Yarrowia lipolytica: one gene and its partner. The protein of the gene in region 1 interacts with the protein of each later gene in a biochemical or structural test. Links are inferred from orthologs where the notes say so. Each region holds a gene or a part of one and is shown on either strand. Other genes may lie near its edges. The genes, in order: YALI1_D30474g and YALI1_B17968g.

Region 1 (15,322 bases):
GAGCAATTAGTGTCCCACAAAGAGCAGGAATCGAAGTCCTTTGAGAAACTGCTGGTGGACGTCTTGCGGATCCCGTCCTGGACCACCCAGACGTTCTTCACTATCGGGCTCTTTATTTCCGCCTGGGCGTTTCTTGCTGCCAACCAATGCTAGCGGGTTTGCGAGAGTGGTAATACTGAAACCTCTGGTATTTGGATGTAACAAAAACTGTGCTGTTGCTGTTTTTTATGCCTGGTCATGTCATGTCGTGGAAAAGCCGTGGAAAGTACACTTGGAGCCATACGAAGAGAAGACACGATTCTATTATTATTGGTAAGTGTTAGATGAATAACCTTGGTTACGACTTAATTCCATACACAGAAGCGCGCTTACTGTACTTATCTAACTCACCTCACAGCGTTGCGATGTTCTGAGGGAACCCTTCAACTTTCAAGAGGTAGGACACCACGGTATTTTTTCACGGATTTTTTTTTATTTTCATAATAAAATAACGATTCAACTAATTACTGTGTATGAACATGAGAGGACTGACTTTTGAGTAAGAGGGTGGAAGGTGTCAATTTCAAGACGTACGTATTCGGAAAAAGCAGGATACACAGTAAAATAATAAGAAAGATAAAGAAAAAGAAAAAGAAAAAGAAAATAAAGGGCAAAAACTGGAACAAGTAAAATATTCACCTGGAATACTACTACGTCCTCCCGGGTAGCTTCTTCAGCAATCAAACCAGAAGTAGCGTGAAAAATGTGACTGATACAAAGGCGTCACAACCCAACTCGCACCTCCTCATTAGTTCTATGAATCAGCCAATTGATCTACGCTAGATGGCATAGACATAGGACAAGTGCAGTGACTCGGATCTCAACGTCAAAAATTCGGGCTCCGCTTTTCAAGCTGCTGAAGTTGCGTCTCTGAGAGATTTATTCAACATCTGTCACATCGGTGATTGGGTAAAACGTCGCAGCTCTCTTGACTCCAGTTCCATACATTAGCCTGTCACTGTGGCTTATCTTAGACCCACAATTGGAGCCGTGCAAACTATATAATACGAGCAGAAAAGAGAGGTGTCGGTAGGTGGTCGGGTTTTATACCTCGCTATACTTAGAGCATTGTTATTCACCTAGTGGGTGAGATGAAAAACAACAAAACATGCCGTTTCAGCGTGCATCAACTTAGCTTTTTTGTGCTAACATAACCCCCACAGCACACTGTGTGTATGCTCGTGTTCAAAAGTCGACTCTGAGCTGTCGTTTTGTTCAACTCAGACATGGCACTGATGTCACCTCCGCATTAGGCTGCTTGTTTAGACGCCAAATTAGCACCTCGCTTAATTCTAATTAGGCGTTTTAGCAGATACACTTTGGGCAGTGCCAAAAAGTGGGTACCTGGAGATAACGGTTGTAGGTGGGGCTACCGTGGTTGGACTGGGATGGAAAGTGGATCTGAAAAATTTCTGAGCAGCGACGAATTTCAGACCTATCTCTTTGTGTCTGAATCGCATAAGTAACGCGCGGTTTATTACTGCATTTGGTAATATGAAAAGTGCCGTGTCTTGGCGTACGACAAGCAAGAACAGGAGGCGATAGAGTAGGATTTTGGAGCAGCTCGATGAAGGAAACGTCTTTAAAGAGTTGTTATTGTTGTTATTGCTGCTGCTGCTGTTGCTGTTGTTGCTGTTGTTGTCATTTAAAGAGTTGGCTACTTGGAAGCGTCAAAAAACAGGCACAAGGCCCTATTATACTAGTAGGCCTGTTCAATAATTTCGATCTAAATGTTTGAAACTCCTCCCCTGACACTTGGCGTCCAATCTATCTGCTCCATTCCTCTATCTATGCGGGGCATCTGTGGCTTCACTGATACCGCCAAGTGAGTGTTTGATGGCGATAGTGTTTGGCATGATGAAGTAGAAGGTGGAGAGATCAAGTCGATGGAAACCGACTTTAACGTGACAAAAATCACATTTTTCGGAAACTGGAGTTTTCTTTTCTACCTCTAAATTCCCAGATTACTTCCATCACCCGTTTCTGGATGTTCGTATGGACATGTTCTGCCCGATGTGCGAGATACTACTCTATATCATAGCTTAACTCTTATTACACCAAGAGCAGATCTCCCTTGGCACACGGCTCTGTGGCTGTCAGATAGCAACACGTAGTATATAGGCGGGTTGGGGGCATGGAAAAACGTCTATCGACTTTTTATCGTCTTGCCACTGTTCGTCATGACTCAACATCTAGGAGATCATCTGGAGGACCACCTGGAGCCTTCCAAAGAAGACGGTCTTTACTACAAGGACACTGACCAAAAGACTACCCACTCTATCGATAAAGACGACAAAAACGAAATTGAATTCACCGAGATTGAAACCACATCGATCATCTCCCAGGGATACTCTCAGACATGGGCCACCTACACCGATGAACATAACCCCGACGGGCTCAGAATTGCCACAGACGAAGATCGAGCGACTCTAAGACGAGTAGCTGCTCCAATTGGAGCCATGACTTACATGCTGTCTCTTGTTGAGTTCGCAGAGCGAGGCTCGTACTATGGTCTGACCAACGTCATTTCCAACTTTGTCCAGTTCCCTCTCCCTAAGGGCGGAAATGGCTGGGGAGCCACACCTGCCGGTTCTCAGTTGACAGCGGGAGCCCTAGATCAGGGTCTTCAAGTCGCCACGGCTCTGACTCTGGTTTTGCAGTTTTTATCCTACTTGACACCTCTTCTAGGAGCCTACCTTGCCGATTCCAAATATGGACGTTTCAAGACCATCTGGGCCGGTACGATCATCTGTGGAATTGGCCATATTGTGATTGTGATTGCCGGAATTCCCGGAATCATAGAGCACCAGAAAGCTGCTCTAGGAATCTTTATTGCTGGACTAATGATCTTTGCCTTTGGAACCGGTCTCTTCAAGCCCAACTTGCTTCCACTATTGCTGGAACAGTACAGAGAAGACAACAACTGGGTGAAGAAGATGCCCAATGGAGAACTCGTGGTGATTGACAAAGAATCGACTCTTCAACGAATGACTCTCGTCTACTACTGGTCTATCAACGTGGGAGCTTTTCTTGGTCTGGGAACTGCTTATGCCGAAAAAAGAATTGGTTTTTGGCTCGCTTTTCTGGTTCCCACTATTCTCTACTTCTTCCTCCCCCTGTTTCTCTGGATCATCAGAAACAGGGTTTACAAGGCTCCTGCTTCTGAAGATTCTCTCATTGCTGGATTCTTAGGAGTCATCTACCAAAGACTGTTCAAGAAGGACTCCACATACTCCGAGAAGTTTCAAACTGACGTCTGGGCCACTCTCAAAGCCACCCGCTTCTTCCTTTTCTTTCCAATCTACTTTATCAACGATGGAGGCATTGGAGCACTGTCTAATTCTCAGGGTAGTTCAATGATCACCAATGGAGTCCCCAACGATCTTCTCAACAACTTCAACCCTCTCACGATTATTGTGGCAGTACCGATAGTCAACTACGGACTATATCCTCTACTGAGACGCTACAAAATCAACTTTCGGGCCTCGTTCCGAATCTTTTTGGGCTTTATGCTGGCAGCTTTTTCTCCCATGATTGGAGCTATTCTTCAATGGAGAATCTACGAGACTTCCCCCTGTGGATACTATGCCACCCAATGTGAAGCTGGAGTAGCTCCAATCACCATCTGGTGGCAAGTCTTCCCTTATGTCTGTACTGCTTTGTCTGAGATCTTTGCCATCACTACCTCATACGAACTAGCTTACTCTCTGGCTCCAGAACATATGAGATCACTTGTTATGGCACTGCTACTGTTTATGTCTGCCTTCAGTACGGCTATTCAGACAGGTCTGACTCCGGCTTTGGTCGATCCGCATCTCATTTGGCCGTTTGTGGGCATCTCAGCAGCAGGAGGAGCCTTCGCCATCGCCTTTCTCTTTTGCTACTGGAACCTCGGAAAAGGTCAGAAGTTGTCAGTCTAGGAGGTGAATAATAATAGTAATTAATCATGTGTTATTGAGTCACGATAGTGGCATTCACGATATTAGTTGAAGATTCGTGTAGATGTTGTTTGGGCGTCAGTCAGCTTCAGGACAACTCTTCTAAAAGAGCATGCCACCTGACGATAAGCGAAACCTTTTTATACCGTAATATGGGCCACGTGATCCCACAGCAAGTGCCCGATTTTTTTTCACGTTACTGCAGCGTCGCTGGGGGTCGTACCTTGTTTAGCTCTCAACTAGAGCTAGGTAAATAGAAAAGGCACTGATTTCCGTAAGTGGCAACATCAGCAAATGTAGGCAGACTCGTAGTAAATATTATCTTATATTTTCATTTATAAGGGTACAGGTTTCACAATAAGACATTTCATACCGTCCTAAGATACCTGGAACACCGTTTTTGTACCCTAAGTGATGTTTCTTCTTAACTAATTTCTAACAAAATGGAAGGAATAGAGAACGCGACCGAAGAGCCTTACTAAAGCGGTTTTAAGTGAGAAACGCAGAAGGACTTGACTCAAATAGTTACTAAACATATTGGTTTTTGAAATGATTAAAATATTTTATTGCTTTTTTATTTTATTCAAGCGTTGAGTCATCATACATCACCAGGCACAGTCCAGAATTCTCAAAGTCGGCACATTCCTGAGGACGTGGCGTAATGGTAGCGCATTGGATTTCGGTTCTTCTGAACGACGTCCTCCAAAGGCTGCGGGTTCGAGTCCTGTCGTCCTCTTTTTTCCAGCAGGAGAGACGTTCTGGTGGTATTTCTGTCTTTGCCAGTTCGCTCGTATTCTACTTTTTTACTGTTCCTGCATAATCGAAACTCAGTTGAGATGAAAGGTAGGAGTTGTGAAAATGAGAGGGTGTCACGGGATCAAGGAATTTATGGTACTGTAAGATTGAGGAGGGCGAGGTGATTCTATTTACCTTTTTATATTCTTAATTGGAGCATTTCGGGTGGACTGGAGCTCTACTGTCTTACCCGTAAGTGGAACATCATGACAAGGACACTACAAAATGCCGAAGACTGAACCGATTCGAGCGGTCTAAAAGGAAACTTGATCTAGCAGTCTCTATAAGCAATTGTTATCACACAAGTTTCGTTGAGAAATGACTGTAACGATGACTTCTTGTAAAATCACTGTGGAACACCGGTAGTGTTCACTTGCTGCAGGTGCATAAGGCAAACAGGGAATACGAAACAATCATGTAGACAATGATAGTCACGTGGTCTGTACCAAAAAGACCGCCCGAGCGAGCTCTACAGGTGGATTAACTCGATTTCCCAGTAGCACAATATCTACTCATTACAGGCACCGTTGCTTGCACGCCAAAAGTGCTCCACTTCATGAAAACATTCTATTAAATACCTGTTATCCTTTTTCCTCGGCAGTTGGAGATGACACTGAGAGGCTGACAAAATGGATGTCACTGATCAACAGCTGTCTCCTCTCTTTCAATAGCTGTGACTGCGATGTATATTCTCGCAGCCTCAGTGTCCACAACTATCCAGACATTCATATGCTCAAGACTGTGCGCTCATGATAATGCGCTCAAGACGGCGCGCTCATCACTGTTCGCTCACCCCAATCATCGCAGTTCCAGCTTCGCTCAAACTGCTCATGATTGTTGCTGGACAATTTCCCCCTGCACCTTTTCATCAAACACATTCACTCCCTGCTTTAGCGCATCAACCAACAAACCCAGAGTGTTGTCATTAAAAGTCTTGCTCGTTCGCAGCTCGTCCATATCCTTGCCAAACTCGGAGGTGACCAGGTTCAGGTAAAACTTTTGAAACTCGGGGTTGGCTGAGTCAGCTGGAAGAGATTGCAGTTCTGCTGGGATGTCCATAGTCTGGGCCGAAGCGGCAGCAGCAGCATCATCTTTGTCAAACTCCATCATTTCGACGTCACCTTCGTCGATTACGTGATTTGTAGTGTCTTCGTTGTCTTCATTATCGTCTTCTTCCGCCCGGTCAGATTCACTGTCACTGGAGTCGGAGTCCGAAACTTCGGCGGTTCGGGCCTTCTTTCGCCGCCGTTTCTTGGGTTCGTCGCTTTTCACGGCCTTGTTGTTTCTCGAGTCGCTTTTGGCCGACATGTTGTGCTGAGACGAATGGGTAGTGCGAGATGTGAAAATATATTCTGCAACGTGGTTTCATGCATGTAATATGCGGGTGGTGCATTTAAGAAATATACCAAGTAATGTGACCGAAGCTAACAAAGCCTAACTATTGTTGGAGTCCTTGCTTGCTAGGTGATTTTAGGAAAACAAAAAAGAGGAAAACAAAACTAAAAGGAGACAAATAACAATCGGATTGGAAAATAACTCCATTAGAGCCATGTATCCATGTGACAATGGTGCTGATTTCTTCGCTAACCAAAACTGTGCAATCAAGTGACGGCAGAAAACCCCAATACACGAAATCAACAGGGGTGTCTTAGGCTCTTAGTCGACTACAATCCAACTCGATTCAAAACAATACAATATTAATTATACACCAGTAGCGACCATCCCATTGGTTTCTCTCCTACTCCTACTCTTTCTTCTCTTCAGTCTCCTCAGCAGCCTTCTCCTCCACCTTGGCTTTCTTCTCTCCACTCTGTTCATCCTCTACGGCCACAGGAGCAACTCGCTTTGGGGCCTTCTTTCGAACAGCCAATCCAGACAGGTCGTTAACCTGCTTCTCTCCTGATCCGCCGACACCTGCAGCAGCCATAATGTTCTTGACAACATCATCAGAAGAGTTACCCAGAATACCTTCCATGACGGCCTGTTTCTTGGCATCGAAGTCAGCCTGACCCTTGGCAATGGCCTTGAGATCTTTGAGCCGAATCTCCAAATCAGACACTAGATCGTCGTCTTTCTCGCCAGTCATGGCAATTCGCTTCTTCACCGAGTCAATTGCCAGAATCATCTGATCCACGGCCTTTTGCTTGTTGGCCGAGTCCTCGGGACAAAACTCGAGGGCCAGAGAGTACTTGTAATGAGCCTCACTCATGACAGTTGATTGGAACTCATTGTGTTTATCCTTGAGCTCTACCGACCGTCCCAGATCTACCACGGCCTGGTTGAAGTTCTCAGACTCGAGAGAAATCTCGCCCAGGATGTCGTACACCTCGGCCAGCTGTTTCTCAATCTCTGTGATCCGCTCCGCTGAAACCCCCTCCTCGGCAAGTTCATCTTCAAACAACTTTCTGGCCAGATCAGTGACTTCCCAAGCCACCTCAAAATCAGTCTGAGGAGCTTCCTCATCTTCTCCTTCCTCTTCTGCCTCCCCCGCATCACCTTCTTCAGCCTTTTCCTTTCCCTTGCTTTCAGAAACCTCCTCTTCGACCTCTTCAACTTCTTCGACCTCCTCTGGAGCCTCTTCAAACTGAAAAGCTCCAGAAGACTTCACAGGAACCTCAACTTCCTCGCCAGTAGTCTCTCCGGGGTTTTCTCCGCCGCCAAGAACATTGGAAGAACTCACTCCGGCCTGGAAAAGAGCCCGACCGTAAAGAAACAGTAAATGACCATCTTCCTTGCCAGTCTCGTCACTGTACTTCTCACACGCCTGGCCCAGAGTCTCGGTGGCGCTCTCGTAGTGCTTCAGAGCGTATGCCTTGGAGCCCAGAGCCACCAATTGCTCGATTTCAGCGCTATAGGTCATGTTGTGGTGTTTGTAGTGGTGTGTAGAATGTATAGTACAGTATTCCAACAGAAATTTATCGTGTAGAGACGCGTCCTTAATGGAACTTTAAATGGTGCAGTCGACGTCGAGGTCACGGCTTGTTCTGCTTAGTAACAAAAGACTTGCTACCAATCAAAAGTAGCTGCCTAACTGACCACGTGACGTGGTCGCTTTCTAGTCATAATCTGATCGTCATCTGATTTCCCCAACAGGCATGTTCTGGGTGAAGTCTACTCAGGCAGCACCTACTACCGAATGGGACACTCCCTAAACGGTCTCTTGGGATTTTATCCCGAATTGGAAACTTTACCAAGGTAACTTGAAGGGGTGAAAACGTGATCCAGAAGAGATATCAAAATTTTGAGACCACTTTCCTACTGAAATATAGGCATTGTGATCACAACAGAATACCTCGCTTAGCTCTAGTATAGCTGGAGGTTGAGTTAGCACTAAATTTAGGTAAACTTCCATTGTATGTCACATAATCCAGAGGAACCGTCTGAGGAGTGTCGAAAGGGTTTCACATGAGCGTTTCTTCCACAGCAGCTAGAGAGAAAATGAGGCACATAGGCGTTTTAGGTGAATCCTTATATAATATCAATACAAATGTTACTATCTCTTCTCTATCTTTCATCCATTGTTCGTGTGTGAGCTAGGTTACTACAAGTAGCTGTGACTCCTAAGGAACCCTCTCAGCTTGCCTTGCAGTGATATTGGCGCACACCAAACATATATGCGGACTCGTCGCGGTCATACTACCATAAAAAAGTGTCTCCCGATTGTCTCCCAGTCCACGCACACGCATCGCAGAAGCCCGTCAAGTTTCATAAGCTTCGTTTTGTCTCGTCAACTGGAGCCCGTTTGAGGAGAGTCAAAAGACTTACCTTCTAATCCACCTCCAAGAGCTCCTACCGACAATCCGAAGGCACCATTGTACTCCCCACACCAACATTACATACCGACACTCTACCGTTTTGAACTGGCCGTACGGACTAACTCATTTGAAAGATATAATACCAGATGTTCCTCGGGAGAAACGCCTACAACCAAAACATCATGTTGTGTGTTCAACACCACAGCAGTCGCGATGTTTCTGGCGCCTCTCAACATCACCGCGTTTGTTGTTCATGACACTCCAGGCGAGAACGTTGAGTACATTTTCCACGAAACCAGCGAGCAGTGCACCGAGCCGAGAGACAGGGTCCGACCGTGTCTCGTCCACTACAGAGGCCAGGATACCACCTGGTTCACCTCCTATTGAAGCGCTCGTGACGACTATGAATTCATGAGGCCGGCCTCAGGTCTAATTTTACGAGATTGAAGATCAGCGGTTGACTGACCATCCTAGACACGGTTAGGTTGAGCAGGCGTAAATGAGACGTCTATCGACTACAAACAGATTGCGAGCTCTTGTTGTTGTTGCGTATGCCGACAGGATCTCAACCAATTGGTTGAAACCTGTAAGGCCAACAATTCCCAACCCTTGAGGCATACATCTGGCTACATCTAGAAGGACACGAGACAGATGAATGGTCAGGGAGAAGAAGCCAACCGCGCTGAAACCGCGGTACATGCTCACGAAGATGTTTGGTACAACAAAAGGCCATGCTCATCTTATTGGTTAAGAGACAGCAATGGAGAAGATGTTCCCTCAGGCAGTGGTTTTAGGGGAGCGTACAGCCAGCCAAGTATTGTCCTATGTGAGCTACTTGTAGTACATACTGTACTACTGTGTGTATGTACTGTACTTAACTGCTGTACGCAACTGTTGTTCATATAGAGAGTTCAGTGACTGGCGCTGAGTTCACTCTTTACCGAAGTGGGATTTCGACTACACTACATTAGGTACTGTTGTACATACTTGGGATTTAGTTGAAGTCTCCGCAGAGTATTGCATTCTATTATTCTACACCATTTTGTTACATCCCACTTGATTCAACTCACTTGATACACCCACTGAGATTGTCCATACTCGTCTCACTCGAATATCAACCATATTCGACTTCTAATCACAGCAATTGGACCCTGCAACTCTTTGCGGTCATTTTAGTAACTCTTGATGTTTCCCTTGGTATCGCTTCCTTTCTACTTCTGCATGTGTATCTGTTGTTAACTGATTCAGCACATCATGTTGAGCTCGTATAGTTGGTTGTATAGCGAGATGAACGCCAATTGTCTGATGCACAATGATATACGACCAAGTGGTCACCTCTTTGAACGCTTCTCTTTTCAACCAGTCTCTTCGTCCTCTTCTCAGCCTCCCACCTACTACTACAAGTACCCCCTTACCCCTTTGGAGAGCTCATTTCCAGCTCCTCAATCCCAGACAAGTCATTCCACAGTCCAACAGCTCTCGGAGTGTGTAATTAAAAAAGCACACTAAGCCTGAATCAGTGTGATCTATCTACAAGTAGACCGAGCCCTAGACTGAGTATGGAGCACGTGATTACCTACAACAGTGACTAACCACAATAGCGACTCAGTGGTTGCACGTCCTCCAAAGTCATTCTCGCACAGCTGAGCCCCACATGTTCATCTTTGACATCGATTAGTCAGCTTTCTTAGCCACCTCATAGCTCACCCTGAAACATAACCCCTATTAGCTTAATAGCAGTCTAATGTGAAACACGAACCCTGCACGAGATTCATGACAGATGTGAAAGACACTTCCAGAGACAGTATAGGTAATCCAAGACTATTGTTGGATTCTGCTAGGCCCAAAAAATAGATCCCCGCTTTCAAATTCGCCATTGGCCCACTTTTGCGAAATGTGCCCTATGGCTGTCAACACCACTATAAGAGAGGGTAATGGGAGAGAGATACATGTGAAGTTAGTTAATTGCTGCGGGGATGACATCATCACGGGACCCTCCTTTGTAGCACGTGTATTCGGCCTCCCCGTTCAGTCACGTGCCTCTGTTTCACACCCGCACACCCATCTCCATACTCATCTCTCGCCCCCCTATCCTCCCCTGCATTCTTCATTCAACCGGTCAAAGTCTGTTTTGCAGGTAGCCCCGTGTGAGTCTAATAACGTCAAGGTTTGGGACAGACACGTACGAACTAACCTAACCACCTCACAGACACCACCACGCACCCAATCTCTCATCATCACATCTTGTGAGTCCTTTCACCTTTTGTAAGAGCGACACACACACAGACAACCGACATTTCGCCATGGCTGAAATGATGAGTGATATCGGTGAGTATAGAGCGGGAGGAGGGTTTCTCGAGGGCCTTGCACCCCTATGACTGGGTCAGGGGGTGAACACAGACACAGACACAGACACAGAGCCAGAAGAGGTTCCGTGTGAAGAACACAGAAGAGGGGCCGGTGGACACAGACGATAGCAACAGCAACAGTTAAACTGGACACGTGACATTGACGATATCAGTTTTGATGCGACGTCTTTGTGTCTGTGTGACGATGATGTGAGGAGCAGGTCGGTGGAAGAAGAGTTGGGATGGCGGTACAACATAAAACTAGCAATTGAGAAAACGCGTCACCAGACCTGCTCCCCAACTCCTCACACTGCACAACGCGATTTATGTCACCCAATGCCTTTTTCACCAGGTCAGGGAATGACATGAGATGACTCCACCTCCAGCCGCGATGGACGCGTGATTTGGTGTATTATGGATCTCATGTAAACGTACGCAACCAGCGAACTATTCTCCTGCCTTTGATCGCGCTCCTCCCTCGACTGCACCCCTAAACACATTTTCATGGCTAACCCAGAACCTATCCACGACGAGGCCAAGGTCGCGGAGCAGGCTCCCTCCATTGCGCCACTGGGACTGGAGCCCACCACAGACAAGTCGCTCGGCAGCAACGCTGCGGTCTCGTCGGCCCTGCCTGAGACCAACATCATCCGCAAGAAGCTGAGCGGCTACGTGGGTTTCGCCAACCTGCCCAACCAGTGGCACCGAAAGTCTATCAAGAAAGGCTTCAACCTCAACGTGCTCATTGTTGGCGAGTCCGGTCTCGGCAAGTCCACGCTGGTGAGCACGCTCTTCAACAACGACCTGTATCCCCCCAAACCGCGCAAGGACCCTGCCGCGGAGCCTCCCAAGACTGTGGAGATCCAGTCGGTGACCAAGGACATTGAGGAGAACGACGTGCGCCTGCACCTGACCGTGATCGACACGCCCGGCTTCGGCGACTTTGTCAACAACAGTGACTCGTGGAAGACGATTGTGGACTACATTGACAAGCGGTTCGACAACTACCTGGACGCCGAGAACCGGGTGAACCGAACGTCCATCAACGACACGCGGATCCACGCCTGCGTCTACTTTATCCAGCCCACGGGCCACTCGCTCAAGCCCCTGGACATCACCGTGATGAAGAAGCTGCACAAGAAGGTGAACCTGATCCCTGTGATTGCCAAGTCGGACACGCTGACCGACGAGGAGATTGAGAACTTCAAGCGGCGGATTCTGGCCGACATCCGGCACCAGGAGATTGACATCTTTGCTCCTCCGCAGTACGAGAACGACGACGCCGAGTCCGTCACCGAGACGCACGAGATCATGTCCAAGGTGCCCTTTGCCATTGTGGGCTCCACCCAGCAGGTGCAGACCGCCGACGGCCGAACCGTGCGGGGCCGGTCCTACCCCTGGGGAGTGATTGAGGTGGACAACGAGGAGCACTGCGACTTTGTCAAGCTGCGTCAGCTGCTGGTGCGAAACTACCTCGAGGAGCTGCGGGAGAAGACGGCCCACACACTGTACGAAAACTACCGAACTGAGAAGCTGTCGTCGCTGGGCATCCAGCAGGACCACTCTGTGTTCCGGGAGGTGAACCCCGCGCTGCGCCAGGAGGAGGAGCGAACACAGCACGACGCCAAGCTGGCCAAGATGGAGGCCGAGATGAAGTCTGTGTTCCAGCAAAAGGTTGCCGAGAAGGAGCAGAAGCTGAAGCGGTCTGAGGCCGAGCTGTTTGCCCGACACAAGGAGATGAAGGACCAGCTGGAGAAGCAGAGGCTGGAGCTGGAGGAGCGCAAGGCGCGGCTCGAGGCCGGTCGAAACACCCAGGACGACCGGAAGCCCAAGAAGGGTTTCCTTCGGTCGTAGGCACCCGGCTAATTTTGGCCAGTTAAGTTAATGGGGAGTTGAGAAGATGCTTAATGCTTGGTTTTTTCGAGAGATATAAAGGTAAATGGATGGGTAACGTAACGCGGAGTAGAGTGGCTGAAGGTTGCGAACGACCAACCACTGGTAGTAGCGTATTTGATGCACAGATAAAAGCACCATACTCCATGGTTAAGAGTGAGACACCAGCAATGGGGATGAAGCCTTGAGGTAAGCAAAGGCTTAAGACGTGCTCTTTTCTTGTGTGTTAATGAAAGCAATAGGGTGGTACAAGGGAGCATACAAGTGCGAGTATGTTACTGTATGACGATGTTACTGTATATGGAGTTGTAGTCATACAGTTATATGTAGCATCTGGGCCATGATATACGGACCATTCGCACAAGGAAGTTAGAGCCGAATTGACCTTGGAAGATCTCTCGAACGGGTAACTGAGGCAGCCGTGCGAGCGTAGAATCTGAGAGGAGACTGGGGCATATTGTGTGACGATGGCTGCTCCAGTGTGTACAGTATCGATACGTGCTACTTAGCTCTATTGATAGCTTGTGTGGAAAGTGTATCTTCTGTTAGATGATGAACTATGGCTTGACTACTTGTAGTATTTTAGCCATGGGTGGGTTGAGTTTGTGATAGTAGCAGTAGGAATGAGAGTATCTCAAGCGTCTTTGACGTTTATAAGTCATTTGTTCAATATCTGGTCGTATGGTATAGACAGACATACTTGTAGATGGCTTACTCAGTTGTATACAGTATGTACTATAGGACAAACACCTGGAAGACGGTTCAACACCACATAGGGTGGTTAGAATGTTTTATTTTCTATGTAGGGTACGTTGGATATCTCTTGATTTCCTTTTCTTCATCTCGTGTACATGGTGGTATTGATTTTTCGTATTTTTTCCGAGATTGTTAGGATTTTTCCTTTGACGTTTGAAAAATCCTTGAAATTCGCAAGAAATTCAAAACTGCCGTGGGCAACGCATTTCGGTTCAAATTGAACTTCTTTTTTTTACTGGCCTGGCGCCGATACCGCCTCATTTCCCTTCCACCACCTCGTTTGTTGCTCTTGGCCCACTCACGTTGCTTTCACGCTGGTCATCGCGTGAGCAATGCACAACTCCATTGTTTCAAATAGACTCACAATGGCGCTAATATAACCGAACCACCAGTGGAGCATGTCAAAAGCGGGATTAAGTGGCGACTAAACGAGCGGGGAACCGCTGCGGCGGGGCGGGGCAGTGACTTACCGAGAAGATATTTAGCCACACGGCCAAAAAAATGCCGTCCTCCAATCGCATCCTGTCTACTTGGGCTTGTCTTGTCACTTTTCATCGTTGCTCTCGCTTCTTGCTGCACTTCCTTGCTACAGCTGGAACCTTGTTTTTTGCTACTACGGTGCATATGGTCCCAAGAGAGTCGCCGCCTTCTTCATATCGTCTTTGAAACCAACCCTCTTGACATCTGACATCACCACGGAAATCGCAAAATGTCCACTCCTGTCTCTGAGCCCCTTCATGCCACTGGCCACGCCGCCGGCACCACCGCCACTGGAGCCACTCCTACCGGCACTGCCGGTACCACCACTTCTGCTGGACACACCAGTGCCACCCCCGGCGCTTCTTCCACCGGCCCCAAGAAGGGTTTTGTGCAGGCTCTTGAGCCTCTGTTCAAGGTGAGTACGAACGTGTGCCATTTACGGGTAATTGAGCTCAACTGCGAGCGTTAGCGAGCAGCTCTAAGAAGAATTTAACAGGCAATGAGTCGTGGTGGAATGACTCCGACCGGCATTGAGTCGTGGAATTGAATGACTCCGACCGGCATTGAGTCGTGGTTATTGAATGACTCCGACCGGCATTGAGTCGTTGGCCATTGAATAAGCATTGCAACCACTCGGTTCTAGTGTCGGCTGTTTTGAATGGCCCGTGTAAAGCACAGTGAACTTCCACGGTCGTTGCTGCTTGTGCAATTGAGCTATCACAAGACGGGGCCAGCATTGAGAAATTGATCAATGTGCAAATGAGCGCTAGGAAGCTGCTGCTGCCCGAGATCTTCTGCTAAATGCATGCTAGTCAAACGCTCCCTCAGTTCTGCTCTGTCGTCAGCCATTGCTCGGACCCGGTTTCCAGCTCAATCACAACAGTGTCGCCACCCTCAATTACATACTAACACAGACCCCCCAGTTCATCTGGTTTGTCGGTAAGTACTAACCCACTATTTCGGTGGATTTCTCAATGAAGCCCTTATCTCCGAGCACATCTCCGAGACCAACCTGTAGGCGATAAGGATGAAAAATGTTTCTGGGAGTGACAGGTGAAATGGAAGCACGATGCGACTGTTTTCTGTACGGTTGTGGTGTTGTTCTGTGCTACGTTCTGCTGTGTTGTCTTGTGTGTTTTGCCGGCCTACGAGGTTGCCCAATGGCATAACATCACCAACTTAACAGGAGCATCTTAGCACAAGCGGCTTAACACGGGCCGCCTAACACGAGCAGAACTGTACGATGAACTTCAACTGTCCAGATCTTCAGTCTGTATTTTTTTTTCCCCCCACCGTTGATCAACATGCACTATCCATG
Region 2 (14,805 bases), on another chromosome or scaffold:
AAGATCTGTGAGCTGTTGATGGCCACCAGGTTCTCTCCGAAAGATCGCACACACACTAGCTTGTCCTTGGTGTCGCACTCCAGCTTGTACAGTAGCTTACCACGGAAGTAGACGCCAATACAGTTGTCCCAGGTGGCATAAACGTAGGGTCGGTGGAAATGAAGCGACTGGATGGGCGCGGGGGTCTGAGGAGAGGTTACAAACATGAGATGGAGCGTCGAAACATCGTAGATCTGAACGGCTCGGCCCACACTGCATGCAACCAGGAAGTTTCGGCCGAAAGATGACACGGAAATAGGTGTGGAGTTGGCAACATGTCCAATAGTCTGTGTTAGTTTGGTGATGTTGGGTGTAGTGATGGGGGTGTAGTACTCACTCTGAAAGGCGTGAAGATCTTAGAGGGGGTTCCGACAAGTCTGTCACGCACAGTGACCTCGTCAGACTCCACTCTTCGCTTTTTTTCAATCGCAGGCATCGTTTTAGAGCGGGTGTCGGAACGCTATGATTTGTGTGATGCAGCTTGGAAAAAAATATTTGGGTCGTGCATGCCAGAAGTTTATTTGGATGGGTCATAATCTGTACAGTATATGAGGATATGTAAGAAGTTAGGATGAGATGCAGAAATGATAGTAGAAGTATACCGAGAGTATTCTTCGTGTTCTTTTTTAGTGATAGTGGAAATAACTGGTTCTGTTTATATTTTCAAGTTGGGCGATAGAGTTCGGTTTCAAGTGAAGGGAAATTTTTGTTGGATTTTTAGTTGGTACTTGAAGGACTGTCTATGAAAAATGTACGTACGTACTATAAAAATAAGTACTACTTGTGGTGGTGTTTATAAAATACAATAAAATAAAATAAAATAAAATAATGCTCCTCTTTGTGCAGCTCTGTAGCATTGTTAGCATCAGTAGTGGACACTCGACTCTGAAACATCCGAAAGGCTTTATATATATAATATATATATATATATATATTATATAATATATATATTCTACAAGTAGCACATAGAGCACTCAAAGTACAAATAAGTACATACTGTATATCATACTGTATGGTACTTACAGTGCTCTGTCTCACTACAAGTGTGCTCGTAACAATTACTTCTAAGTAAGACGTGCAAAACTATATCGGAAGATCCAAATTGGAACGACTGGTGGAAACGATTAATAACAACGGGATGTGTGCGACCCAGCAACTTGAGATGCCGACACTGTCTATATAGAGCCCTCCTTCTACACCACTGTAACATTTGGCCTTGCGCTCACGATACGTCTGTCTTCTTTGCATGTGAGCGGCAACGAAACTTTGGCTCCACAATAGCGAGCACGTGGATAGATACAATGGAGTAGATTGAGGGGACTGTAAAGCCACTATTGTGGGGTATTATAGTAGGTGGGAGTTTATTGAATTGGAGACAGACTGAGAATTGGTCATTCTATATCTCAATCTGTCGATATCACCCAGTATATATCGGCTTAAGGTCTTCTGTGCTATGCTATATCAACCCACCAAACAAGGCGAAGCTGCTGCATAGACGATCGAGCTGTGGAGACGGTATCGTACAGTAGATAACCGGAAGAACTCAGATGGGGGTGGCTTGCCAAGAGTATACGTCACTCACTCATAAAACAAAAGAATAACTACAAGTGGTCTAATCAATTTTACCACTCCAAAAACAGCCAGAGAACATTTCCCAATCAGCTGCTTGTAGCTCCAGTCCAGTAGAATGGCTCGCTGCACCACGCTGCCTATGCATCTGGTGTTAGCCAAAACCATAAGCAGCGAACAGCACAAACGGGAGTATTAAAAGTTGTTTTACCAGAGACCGATGTCGGATCTTAAAAGGTCAATCGCTGTAAAACTTCCTTTGAAATCGATTTCTTTTTTTTTCATCTTTCTACCCCCTCTCCTTGTCATCCAAACTCCACCCCAGAATCATTGCTTCGATATTCCCAATTGTCGAGCGCAGCATTAGTCTGAACCCTAAAGCTGATCTCGTCGACATCGGGTCTACCTCTCACACATCTTCACACCACCCACCACACCCCCCCCCGTGGAAAAATGTTCAGAACCGTCTCCGACCGTGTCGGCCTCGGCCCCCGCATCCTCGTACGAGCCCTCGGACTCGTCCATCTCCACGTCGTCAATAAAGGCTGCTGTTGAGGGCCGAGCCCGACGGTCCTCTTCCTTCTCTAGCATCAGAGCTGCCTCTGGTACCCCCGACCTGTCCAACCTTCCCAAGATTGGCAAAATTGGTGTCTGTGCGATGGACGTCAAGGCCCGATCCAAGCCATGTCGGCACATTCTCAACAGGCTGCTGGACACGGGCGAATTTGAAACCGTTGTCTTTGGAGACAAGGTGATTTTGGACGAGCCCATTGAGAACTGGCCCACGTGTGACTTTCTCATTTCCTTCTTCTCATCCGGTTTTCCCCTCGAAAAGGCCATTTCCTACGTCAAGCTACGAAAACCCTTCCTCGTCAATGACCTCATTCTGCAAAAAGTGCTGTGGGACCGACGTATCGTGCTTGACCTGCTCGACTCGGCCAATGTTCAAACCCCTCCTCGTCTCATTTGCACCCGAGACGGAGGCGCAAAGGCCGACCCTGACCTGGCCAAGAAGCTGGCCGAACACAATGTCATCCTGACTCCCCAGCCCAAGTCCGAATGTCACATGGTTGACGAGGATACCGTCATGGTGGATGGCAAGACCATGACGAAGCCGTTCGTCGAGAAGCCCGTGGATGGAGAAGACCACAACATCTACGTCTACTACCCCAAGTCGTCGGGAGGAGGAGGTCGACGACTATTCCGAAAGGTCGGCAACAAGAGTTCAGAATTTGACCAGGATCTCTGTGAAGTCCGGATGGACGGCTCGTACATTTACGAGAAGTTTATGGACACCGAAAACAAGGAGGATGTCAAGGCGTACACTGTTGGAGCCCATTACTGTCACGCTGAGACCCGAAAGTCCCCCGTTGTCGACGGTATTGTCAGACGGAACACATATGGCAAGGAGCTGCGGTTTGTGACCAAGCTGACTGACGAGGAGATCAAGTTTGCCAGCAAGGTCTCTCAGACCTTTGAGCAGACTATTTGCGGTTTTGATCTGCTGCGTGCCCAAGGTGAGTCGTATGTCATTGATGTTAACGGTTTCTCTTTCGTCAAGGACAACCACGAATATTACGACAACTGCGCCCGAATTCTGCGACAGATCTTCCTGCAGGCTAAGCAGCAGCGAAACAAGGACCGAGCCATCGCTAACACTGCTCCTCAGCCCGAGAAGCACCAGTCCTGGGTTCTCAAGGGCCAGGCTATTGTGATTCGACACGCAGACCGAACCCCCAAGCAGAAGATCAAGGTCTCATTTAAGCATCCTCTCTTCATTGATCTACTGAAGGGTCACAAGGAGGAGGTTCTTTACCGAGAGAAGGATCGTCTGATGGAGGTGCTTGAGACTACTCGACGGGCCACAAGGGAGGCTACTGACGAGGATCCTCAGAAGATGGCTAACCTGATCATTGCTCTGGAGAAGAAGATGGATTTCCCCGGAACCAAGGTCCAGATCAAGCCCACAATCAATAAGAGCACCGGCGAGGTTGAGAAGGTGCAACTAGTGGCCAAGTGGGGAGGAGAACCCACTCATTCGGCTCGATACCAGGCCCAGGACATGGGTGACCAGATGCGTCAGGATCTCATGATTGTCAACAAGAACCTGCTCAAGAATGTCAAGTGTCTCTCATCTTCTGAACGACGAGTCATTGCCAGTGCCAAGATTTGGGCAGCTGCCTTCCTAGGTGTTGAGGAGGTCTCTGACGACTTCATTGTTGTTCGAAAGGGTCTTCTTGATGATTCCAACGCCGCCAAGGACCTCATGGACAAGGTCAAGAAGGAGCTTAAGCCTCTTCTGCGAAAGGGAACCCCACCTCCCCCTCATTTCACCTGGCCCGACAAGATTCCCGAGCCCTTCATTGTGTTGCAGCGGGTCGTCGAGCTCATGAAGTACCACCACAAGGTCATGGAGAGAAACTTCAACAACCACACTCCCGAGGAGGTTGAAGCCTTTCAGACTCGATGGTGTTGCCAGGAGACCCCTTTCTTGTTCCGAGAGCGATGGGATAAGCTTTTCTCCGAGTTCACTTCGCCCGACAAGGTCGACCCTTCTCGAATCTCCGAGCTATATGACGCTATGAAGTTCGATGCACTGCATAACCGACAGTTCCTCGAGCGAATCTTCAAGCCCGATGAGAGTGTCGAAATTGCTCCCCCTTCGTGCCACATCCCTAACGTCTCTGCTCCCGAGCTGTCTTCTCTTGGAAAGACTCCTCTTGTTACGCCTACAAGTGACGACGAAACCAAAACATCTTCCAACGGCAAGTCGCCCCAGCAGACTTTCTATGGCCCCCAGTACGTGCATCTTCGAGAGCTGTACCGACTGGCCAAGATTCTGTTTGACTTCATTTGTCCCCAGGAGTACGGTATCGAGGACAAGGAGAAGCTGGACATTGGTCTGCTGACGTGTCTGCCTCTGCTCAAGGAGATTCTGTCCGAGCTCAACGAGATGAAGCAGGCCGAGACTGGAGGTGTGATTGCTTACTTCACCAAGGAATCTCACATCTACACCCTGCTCAACATCATCTACGAGTCCGGCATCAACACCCGAATCGCCCGAAACGTGATTCCCGAGCTGGACTACCTAACCCAGATTGTTTTTGAGCTATATGAGAGTGTAGAGGCGGATGAGTATGGCGAGAAGAAGTACTCCATTCGACTGTCAATCTCGCCTGGATGCAACACCCAGTCTCCTCTGGATGTTCAGCTGGACTCAAAGCACTGCATCTCTTGTATTCCACGAGTCGGTCTCACTCGACATTTGGACCTGGATCTGGTCATTGGCAAGCTGCAGACTCGTTTCAACCGGGTGTCCATGCCTTCCAAGTTTATTCCCGTCAACATTTCTTAAACGAGCCTCAGAGTTGTTTTTTGCCCTTGAGCTTCTTATTACTTACGTTGATGTTAGATTAACTGTATATTAAGTGCATTTTTTATTGTGTGAGTGCTCCTGTGTAGTAATAAGTAAGATCGTATAAATAATTGACTCACTACATCTATGCCTTGTCTTCCTTCTTGCCTTACTCCTTCAGCGTCTTTTCCTTCTCTTCCCTCTCCTCCGCTGCAGCTGCCTTTCTCTCCTTTCGATGAATACCAAATCCATTGTACGCCACAGCCCAAGCTTCGCCCTTGGACAGTTTATCAGGAATCTCGATCATCTCCCACTCACACTTCAGGTCTTTTTCAGACTGTAGTATCGTGCTCAGAGCAGGGTACTTCTGCTTGAACTCGTCATCTCCAAACCGAGTGTCATAGGATCCGAGATAGTTGGCCACAATGAAGTCTGCATTGATGAAGAGCAGTTCATTGACGTTCACAGGTGCATGAGGTGCGTAGATGAAAGACTCTGTCGGCTGAAGTTTCACCTCGGAAATGCTTTTGGTCAGATCTTCGATGTCACCAGATTCTGCGGCTATGTCTGTTGTGTCTTCCATGTCAGCCTTTTGTGTATCTGATTTCACAGATTTTGTTTCCTCCTCTACATCCTTCGTTCTGAAATCAGGATCCCACATCCCTGTCACGGTCTTCATTCCTAACAGCTTGAGCATTTCCTCATCTCGAGCCGTGAACATAGGTTCTGTACAGACTACCTTGTCCAGAGGGATCTTGAGCTCTTCGGCCAGCAAAAGCAACAATACCAGCTGGTATCGCACTCCTTCGTCCTCTGCAGGCTTGCCCAATGCCAGACATTGGATATCTGCAAACTCCTTGGTGCTGTGTTTCTCTAGAGTCTGTTGGAGATGGGTTTGGAAGAAGTCGTAGAACTTGGACCGCTTGACATCTCGCTTGAGCTCTTCAAGTCCCTCCACAAGTTCCCTGGGTGTCTTTTCTACCCACGCCTTTCGTGGTCGTCGCCGGCTGTATCCCATGGTGTCTGCGGTGATGATCTCACTGATACACACAACTTTTTTGCATCACTCTGCATGGTCCAAATAGAGTTTTAGAATACCGTCCAAGAAGGGAATGGTGATGGAAGAAAAGTCCCTCTTCTTGAATGGGAACAGGATATGTAACTACTTAGTAAAACTCATTAATTTTGGATTTGTTACTTATTCTTTATAAGCTCTATAGCCTCCCCCCTTTCTCCCCCCAAAAAATATTAAAAAAATGCGCCCTTCTTCTATATCTAGACTGTCATGCATCCCACACCTTAACCTCCTAAATTACGCGACGCGTGCAAACTATCATCCTCGCTACCAACACACTTTGATACAAAACCACACATGGCACGGATATCTCTGGCCTCATCATCAGCCGGAGTGGCCGGGAAACCTCGAGGAGGAGGAGGTTTGCACCCCCTGGGTCAGACGAGAAAGACTCTGCCAGGCGAGAGACGAGATACGACACAGAAAATCACCAAGCCACGATATAAGCCAGGACAAAAGGCCCTCAAGGAGATCCGCAGGTACCAGCGTGGAACTGAGTTGCTGATTGCCAAACTACCGTTTGCGCGAGTCGTCCGAGAGGTGGCCCTCAATTATCTGGGCAGCGAGTACGGAAATTTGCAGTGGCAAAGTATGGCGCTGCTGGCACTACAAGAAGCGGCGGAAGCATTCCTTGTCCATTTGTTCGAAGATGTCAACCTGTGTGCTATCCATGCAAAACGTGTCACCATCATGCAAAAAGATATGCAGTTGGCAAGACGTATTCGAGGAGCATGGGGAGGTGCTGGTTAGTATGATAACCAGGTGAAGGACACTGTTTGGGGTTGCGCGGTTCTAGGAAGAGGAAACTGAGAGATGAGCATGCGCCTTTATTTATTTTATATGTACAATACATATTTTTTTTATATTTCTGTTGTTGTTGGTGAGACTACTTGTGCTGTCCTAACTGGTCCTTGAAAGGTTTGTTACAAACATCTTTGCTGTACCTGTACGGCACAACAGTGATCTTCAGCCCGTTTAAACACAATAATTTACCATCTATATACAGCCTTATACTGCCATCTAATCCTCCATGTAATGTTCTCATTATTTCCAATACCCAAAACACAACCAGTGTGCAGCTGGTGGTTCAGAATAATGTCATTAGGACAGCCAGTCGCTGCTCATTCCCAAGCCGGATCCTCAACTTAAACAATGAGGAACCAGAAGACCAGAATCAACATGATACCGACCGCAGCAGTGATGATACCGGCACCTGCTCGATCTCCTCCATGAATATCCAAAGGACTGGCATCGTCCTGGCTTGTTCCGAAGGGGTTGTCTCCCTGGGTTCCGGCAGATCCGTTACCCTTGGAGGTTCCTCCGGTGATATCGGTCAGAGGACCAGTGGAGTTGAGAATCTGGGTGTTGAGAATAACTTCCAGAGCTGACAGCTGCTCTCCGAGACCAATGTACGAGACGTTGTACTCGCCTGTGAGCCAGTTGATGGAGCAAGTATGTCCGTCAAAACCTCCAGAACAGGTTCGAGCAGCAGCATAGGCCGAAGGACGCAGGTAGGACAGGATAGAGCCAGCCAGAGAAGGCATCATTTGAGCGGTCTGGCCAAGAAGCGACGAGTAGATACCCTTGAAAGTTCTCTGATCCTGGTTACAGGTGATGGTGACCTGCTGACAGGCGATTTCCACCATGATGTTGCTCTGGTTGCCGCCAAAGAAAATTCCCTTCATGATATCAGCATTCCACAGCTGGTAGGTTCGGTTCATCCATACGGAGGCCTCGAGAGTGGCGTTAGTGCCGTTTCGAAGCATGGTCGCGTTGTAGATTGAGGCAGCTCCGGACATGTAGATACCGGAGTTATAGGTCCAGAGGTAGGGAGATCGATCAGAACAGTTGGGCAGATGGATACCATCGTAGACGTGGCCACCGTCGATGATCTTGACTTTTTCGGACCAGGTCCAGATCTTTTCGGCCCATTCGAGGTAGGTGGTGTTACCGGTGTATCTGTACAGTCGAGAAGCGAGGTTGAAAAGAGCTCCATTGGCAATAGCGTTCTTGTAGTCGTATCCAGAATTCCACTGGAAAATCTGCCAGTGCAGACCTCCATCGCACACTTGAGTGTCCCATCGGTCAGCCATGGAGTTAAAGGCACCCTGAGCAACGTACAGCCATCCGTAGTCGTCGTCGGGATTGGTGAAGTTTCGTTCAGCAGCTGTCATCATGGTCATGGCCCACACTCCCTGGTCATCGTTACCCTCGGAAGAAGAGTAGTTTCGCACCATGAGGTTGTACTTGTCTCCTCGCTGGGCCTTCATGGCCTCGAAGGTGATGTTGTTGAAGGTGGAGTTGCCAGTGATGTGCCAGTACTCGATCATGGCGTTCCAGGCGGCGCCAGCGTGCCACCAGTAGTAGGGAGGCACAAACATTCCAATGGTTCCTCCATAGGTGAAGCCCTGGTAGTAGTCCAAAAGACCCTCAGCAATGAGAGCAAGAGCCTTGTCGACGGTATCGGGCTTGTCGAGATCCAGAAAACTTAGATCAGCGTGCACGGGGGCCAGCAGCGTGGTCACCGCCAGCACCAGCGCCCAGATATAGGTTGAGGGTCTCATAGTGTGGTATATGGGATGAGGTGTGGAGATATCTTCACAACTCGAGAGAGGCCTTAACTCGCGCACTCATACAGCCCACCACCGAAGTTTGTCCTAACAAAGGTTTGCGTTAGTTTGCTGGGGTATAGACAGAGGATAGGGGTTTGTGTGTTTTTCTTCATGAGAGCATGTTTTCCAGTGGTTATACCGAAAGATGAATGTCTTATCAAGTTGTTTTTCTTCTGGCTTGTCAACCCACTTGTTCCTTATTCTTTCTCGATATGTACAGTGTGCCATATTGACCTGCACCAACCAACGTTTGTTTTCCATCTTTTTCCCACCTCGACTTGTTCCCGCTTTTCTCCACAAGCTTCAATTGTGGATCGAGCTTGAATCTATAAATAGGTTGGAGTGTCTACTGTGCGATGCTGTTATTGTACTTGTGTACTACTGGTTGCACTTGTTCAGACGATTATCTTCCCCCTCTCAGTCTTTGTCATATTACTAGCCTAAGATAAGGCATTAGACCATCACATCTGTCCGCAAGGCATTCGAGACGCCCATCACCTCTTTTTAGCCCGTTCACTTTTCGCTCCTTTCGTCAATAGTATCAAGGCTTTTCGTTACAAACCTGAGAATCAAAAGTTAGAGGTTACCGCGGAGTAGAGAAAAGCGATTATTGGTGGTATTAAGGATGGAAGAAGACCCTCACAAAAAAAGCGGTTGTGTGACTTGACGTAATCTCGCGTCTTGGCTCCGGATAGGGTGGGACATGTGAGTAAAACTTCTAGAACCGCGTCGTCGCTTTTCTAATGCCTTCGGTTTAAGACATTTCCAGAGGCGGAGTTATTTCGAGGGTTATTGAGTCTACGGTTTGAGCTTAGCAAGGGGATTGATTAGTAAGATATTAGTGAAAGAGGATGGGGGTTGCTTTTTACTGAAGCGATGAGGTGGTGTGTGGGGGTGTACAATGCCAACTACCTTTAGTTGGGTTTTAGAGAGAGAGAGAGAAAAGCGCTGTACATCAGTCATCTTCTAGTATAGTCAGTCTGAGAGGTGCTTCAGCTGAGAAATGGTCAAATTTATTGCCCATATGTCACAAAGAGGGAATATATTGAAAATGAAAATGTAATTGTCTGATCTCATATTGCACACTTTTTTTTATAATCTCAATTATGCATAATTGTTCTTTACTAACCTCTGAGATCAACTACAGGTACAGTAGCCACTGTTAGGGATGGGAGTAGCATATGTGTGTGTGTTACAGTAAGGGTCGGCAGAGACCCCTACACAGTCTTTGAATATGTATAGAGTCTAGTGTACGTAGTTATAATATATACATTGAAGCTGCAAAGATGATAATACATTATCACCGACTAGACTAGATCTCACCATTTCACGACCAAAAACTATGTAGAGATTCCCTTCCCGCTAACATCATAACCAGTATCCCTGATTTTATTTAATGTGCGGATAACAATGAAACAGAACTGTTTCATCCCTTTGGGGACAAGAGAAGACCATGTATCGGCACAAGTAATTACAATGAGTATTAATTTACGTCAATTTACTATCACTGATCACTACAGAGCCTTGTAACACTCATTTTATTCTTCCCCCTCTCTCCCTACTGTCATCCTCAAGGCAACCACTAATACGACAGATAAAGCAAGCCGAGGACAACGGAGACAAACGGAAAGACAGCGACGGTGTGTTTAAAGCTGAGACGCTAAACCAGAGCGTTTAGATCTAAAGCGGGTCCATGACCATAACGAGGGGGTGAAAGGTCCGACTAATAACCCGCTTTCTCGGAGCTCAAATAGACCGCCCTCTTCTCCTCCCACCTCAATCCGGGGAATGCATCCGTCTGCACGACAAGCATGAGCCTGGGGGTTTCTTGCACCGTTCCAACTATTTTTTGGTCTGCAGTTTGGGTCTAAAGTGCTGCATGGACGTGGACATTTTGACACGGGACGGGAGGATGATGTGAGGTGAAGGAAAAGGAATCTCGTTGGTGAGTAAACAAAATATATACAATTGAACTATTTTAAAACACGTGATGGACTCATAACCCCTCCCCTACCTCTTTATCGCCTCATTTCATCGCCCTTCTTAGCCGGCCCACGTGAAATAGAGTTTTCTGCTGCAGAGTGGGAGAAAAAATTGGAAGAGCTCAATACTCTCACCTCCACCACACCTCCGTCTTATCCATGCGTCGATCCAAAGTCTTCATCGGCAACTCCCACACGGAGCTGGGCGGGCTCATCTGCAACCGTCTCGGCGTGGAGCCTGCCCCTTGCACTCTCAAAAAGTTTTCCAACGGCGAAACGTCAGTGGAGATTGGAGTGTCTGTGCGAGACGAGGATGTGTACATTGTGCAGTCGGGCTCTCCTTCGGTCAACGATCATTTGATGGAGTTGCTGATTCTGATTTCGGGCTGCCGAACCGGTTCTGCTCACAAAATCACCGCCGTGATCCCCTCCTACCCTTACTCTAAGCAGTCCAAGATGAAGAAGCATCGAGGCGCTATCACTGCTCGAATGATTGCCAACCTGCTGACCATGGCCGGCGCCGACCATGTCATCACCATGGATCTGCACGCCAATCAGATGCAGGGATTCTTCACCGTGCCTGTCGACAACCTCCATGCGGGTCCTACTCTGGCCCAGTGGATTCGACACAATGTCCCCGACTACAAGGACGCGGTGGTGGTCTCCAAGAACCCCGGTGGTACCAAGCGAGTCACAGCGCTGGCCGACGCTCTCAAGATCAACTTCGCCATGATCCAGACTGACCGACGACGAAACCACAAGCCCTACTCGTCCATGCTCAACCTGGCCCAAGCCCCCATTTTCTCGGTTGCCTCGCCACGAAAGAAGGGCGCTCGAGGCGCTCCTCCTACCGTGCTGCCTGCACCAGGCTCTCCTCTCAACGGAACCGCTCGACGGGCATCCATGAAGCTGCAGGACGGACCTAACACCACTCATGGCACAGTTCCCTCGCGACGAAAGTCGTCAAACACCCGAAAGCCCTCTCAGCTCGGTGGCCGACGGCCGTCGCTCAATCCTGGTGAGGAGGGAGAAGACGATGTCTTTGACGACGAAGAGGACGAGGGAGTGCACATTGTGACTGCCCACGGTGTCCAGACCGCCCGAGTTGTCCAGGGCCACGTGGTGGGAGATGACTACCTTGAGGAAGAGTCCGAGTCCGAGGCCCAGTCTGAGGCCGAAACCCGACCTCGTCTTCAGCACACCGATTCGTCAGTCGACCTGAAACATGCGCTGGGAGGCTCTGTTGACGCTGAGGGCTCCGACGATGACGACGACGAGTTCCAGCGAGAAAAGCTCATCACGCTGGTCGGAGATGTGCGGGGCCGAACCGCCATCATTGTTGATGACATGATTGACCGGCACGGCTCTTTTGTTGCCGCCGCCGAGCACTGCAGACTCAATTGTGGTGCCAAGCGAGTGGTTGTGATTGCCACTCACGGCATCTTCAACGACGACTGTCTCGAGCAGCTGCAGGCCTGCCCCTGCATCGACTCGGTGGTTGTGACCAACACGTACCCCATACCTGTCGAACGTCGAATCGCCGCCACCAAGCTGGTGGTCATCGACGTGTCTGCCATCTTTGCCGAGTGCATGCGACGAAACCACCACGGAGAGAGCATTTCTGCACTCTTTGAGCAGATGACCATGTAGTCAGCCCACCTCTAATCAGCATAGCATATATATTTTTGAACTAGACGAGCCGAAAGTACGACACCTTTAGCCGATTCGAGCGTGGCTGATTCGACGTAGCGAGAGGATGCACTATACGGACAAACAGTCGGAAGTTGGGTGAGATGAGCTGGTTGCCAGAGGATAAACAAACAGACGCAGTCAGGAGCAATTCGAGAGCCTTGGGCTGTGCGCCCACTATAGACTGATGTCATGAAAGACCATCTGGAGGTCTGTTCTGATCCTTCTTTTGAAGAGAAACTACGCTTGATTACCAGCTTTGAGATGTCCACCTTTCCCATCATCACCTACAAACAATTAGTGATCATTGTGTTTGCAGGAGCGGAAGACTTTTACCAGAACTGTCAATAATATCACAACAGATTTTTCTGTCTTTTCATACTCGAAGTGGTCTGTCCAAACAAACTGTTAGATGAAATGGAGGTAGACGAAGTGATCTGACTCATAAGAAAAGCTGGTGATATATGCGTTCATTCTTCTTTTGACTCCTAAATGAGTTCCAAGTGGTTGGCTACAGTAGATGAGCAGCTACTTGTACATTGTTACAATATTGTACATACCGGTAATTAGCTACCTGTACAGATGGTTGAATGACCTGGGTCGCATCCTTTAATTCTATCAAACAAGTCATGTTAGCCTCAGCGCTACAAGTAGATCAAAAAGAGAAAGAATCACAGTGAATCGATACAGTACAAATACACAAATCATAAGATGTAAAAAAATTGCGAATTCTGTGGATCGAACACAGGACCTCCAGATTACTCTGACCGAAGAACGACTTCAGTCTGGCGCTCTCCCAACTGAGCTAAATCCGCAGACATGTTTTGTGGGACGTGTTCCACGCACTAGCTCAATATGTTAAAATAAGGTTCTGAGATTAAGAGTATGTATAATCCATGAATGAATGAATGTGATTAGAACATTCAAATCTTTGGCTCATCAGATGCACCCTGGTTTGATGGTTAATGGTATTGTGCGCCACGGAATATCATGGAATAGCTATCCTCATGAGTGTGAGTCTATCTAAATCAAATTAAATGATGCAGCAAAGTAATATCAAGTGATGATGATACTTCAATATACAAGTATACTGAACTACGGTTGCGGATACTTGTACTGTACATAGATAACAGTGGACTTGTCTCCACCGTTGAATAACACGCGTGGGTATTGTACTGCCGCATTTAAACATGACCTCGTCTCATTCCTCTGTAGCTGCAACCTCGATACGAGGGATCGGCGAAGTAGCACAGAGTTCACTTGACGATCTTTGAGCTTGAGATCTTCTGCTGTGGGCTACTTGTATTCAAGTACTGTAGCCAATTGGACCTTCCAGTGTCCAAAAAACGCATTGTACATATAACCCATCTACGAGTACCTACGGTACGAGCACAACACGAGTACATCTCTAATGTCTGACACCCGCTCATATACCCGAGACTGCATCGGGACAAGTGAGACACAACGCAACTAGCACGCCCAACGTGCAGGACATGTCTCAGCACTGCCTACTTGTATCGGCTCACACTTATACTGTATCCACTTCATTCTTTTTGCGATTATTCGGATATCGTGCATGATGGTTTTTGAAACAAAATGCGAGCAAGGAAAACATAAACAGAGGCTCTGGTCGAAAACAATGGAAACGTGCCAGCGCGGAAGCTGTTAAAGAAACAAAAGAGTGGCGGGAAAGTAGGCTGTGTCTTTCATTGTGCACTGCCCACAAGCTGTCGTTCTTGGCTGTTAGCTGCTACCCGAAGGCGCCATTTTTGCTTTGATATTGACAGGGCTGCTCTTGGCATTCAAGTGTACGTCAACTGTAGGATTCAAACTTGACGTAGAAATACAGTATGGAGGCGGTCGCTCATGTCTTCCAATTAACGAAGAATATATCTACAAATACAAGTACCTACGAATTGTTCATATCATAAATCGTTATCATAAATACCTGAAGCTCAGCGCTTAAACAAACCTGCTCTCGATGGTAGGTTTGGGGTCAGCAGCCGCACTGCTGATGGAGTTTCGCATGGTGAGATCGTAACTCGAGTCGTACGAGTCATGCTCCACCGTGTGGCCCTCCTTGATCTGATGTCCAAGGGCATCAAATTCCTCCTCGGCGTTCTTCTCGTTGTTTCGTAGGAAGTACACTCGGTCATCCTTAGCAGGGTGGTATCGAGTGTCGGGATTCTTGGAAAAGATGGCAATCAAACAGGTGACAATGGTGACAATCAGCAGGAAGAGCGAAAAGGCACAGTTGAGCACAAAGAAGATGACTCCCATGATCGATGCCACAGCGGGAGGCTGGTTGTAAATTCGAGAGAAGAAAGTGAAGAAGAAGGCGTTGAGCAGGTTCACCAGCGCAATGGTGATGTTGAGCACGTTGGTTCGCTTATCCATGTAGGGCTTTCGCCAGCACAGACAGGCAAAGTAGATGAGCTCGATGATAAAGATGGTCATGGCCTGGGTCTTTCCACTGCCCTGAGA

The links.
Region 2: the proteins of YALI1_D30474g (region 1) and YALI1_B17968g form a complex in vitro, tested with the Schizosaccharomyces pombe proteins (2 studies listed by BioGRID, with this or other methods). The link is inferred for Yarrowia lipolytica from reciprocal best matches to the Schizosaccharomyces pombe genes sim3 and cnp1.

The regions. Positions count from the first base shown.
Region 1 is NC_090773.1:3,039,752-3,055,073, forward strand, and holds YALI1_D30474g (uncharacterized protein), read right to left. Parts: upstream 7,633-15,322; coding exon 6,517-7,632; downstream 1-6,516. Other genes in the region: YALI1_D30395g (uncharacterized protein), read left to right, coding at 1-153; YALI1_D30420g (uncharacterized protein), read left to right, coding at 2,220-3,946, 5,393-5,525; YALI1_D30459g (uncharacterized protein), read right to left, coding at 5,601-6,080; YALI1_D30482g (uncharacterized protein), read left to right, coding at 8,387-8,474, 8,520-8,914; YALI1_D30506g (uncharacterized protein), read left to right, coding at 10,831-10,855, 11,393-12,729; YALI1_D30526g (uncharacterized protein), read right to left, coding at 12,752-12,870, 13,118-13,215, 13,827-13,846; YALI1_D30540g (uncharacterized protein), read left to right, coding at 14,234-14,419, 14,919-14,943. UniProt on the Schizosaccharomyces pombe protein: Histone H3 and H3-like CENP-A-specific chaperone. Promotes delivery and incorporation of CENP-A in centromeric chromatin, probably by escorting nascent CENP-A to CENP-A chromatin assembly factors.
Region 2 is NC_090771.1:1,790,488-1,805,292, forward strand, and holds YALI1_B17968g (uncharacterized protein), read left to right. Parts: upstream 1-6,335; coding exon 6,336-6,788; downstream 6,789-14,805. Other genes in the region: YALI1_B17908g (uncharacterized protein), read right to left, coding at 1-326, 377-475; YALI1_B17927g (uncharacterized protein), read left to right, coding at 2,267-4,963; YALI1_B17964g (uncharacterized protein), read right to left, coding at 5,133-5,981; YALI1_B17990g (uncharacterized protein), read right to left, coding at 7,184-8,602; YALI1_B17998g (uncharacterized protein), read right to left, coding at 9,220-9,385, 9,453-9,613; YALI1_B18012g (uncharacterized protein), read left to right, coding at 10,792-12,282; YALI1_B18069g (uncharacterized protein), read right to left, coding at 14,284-14,805. UniProt on the Schizosaccharomyces pombe protein: Histone H3-like nucleosomal protein that is specifically found in centromeric nucleosomes. Replaces conventional H3 in the nucleosome core of centromeric chromatin that serves as an assembly site for the inner kinetochore.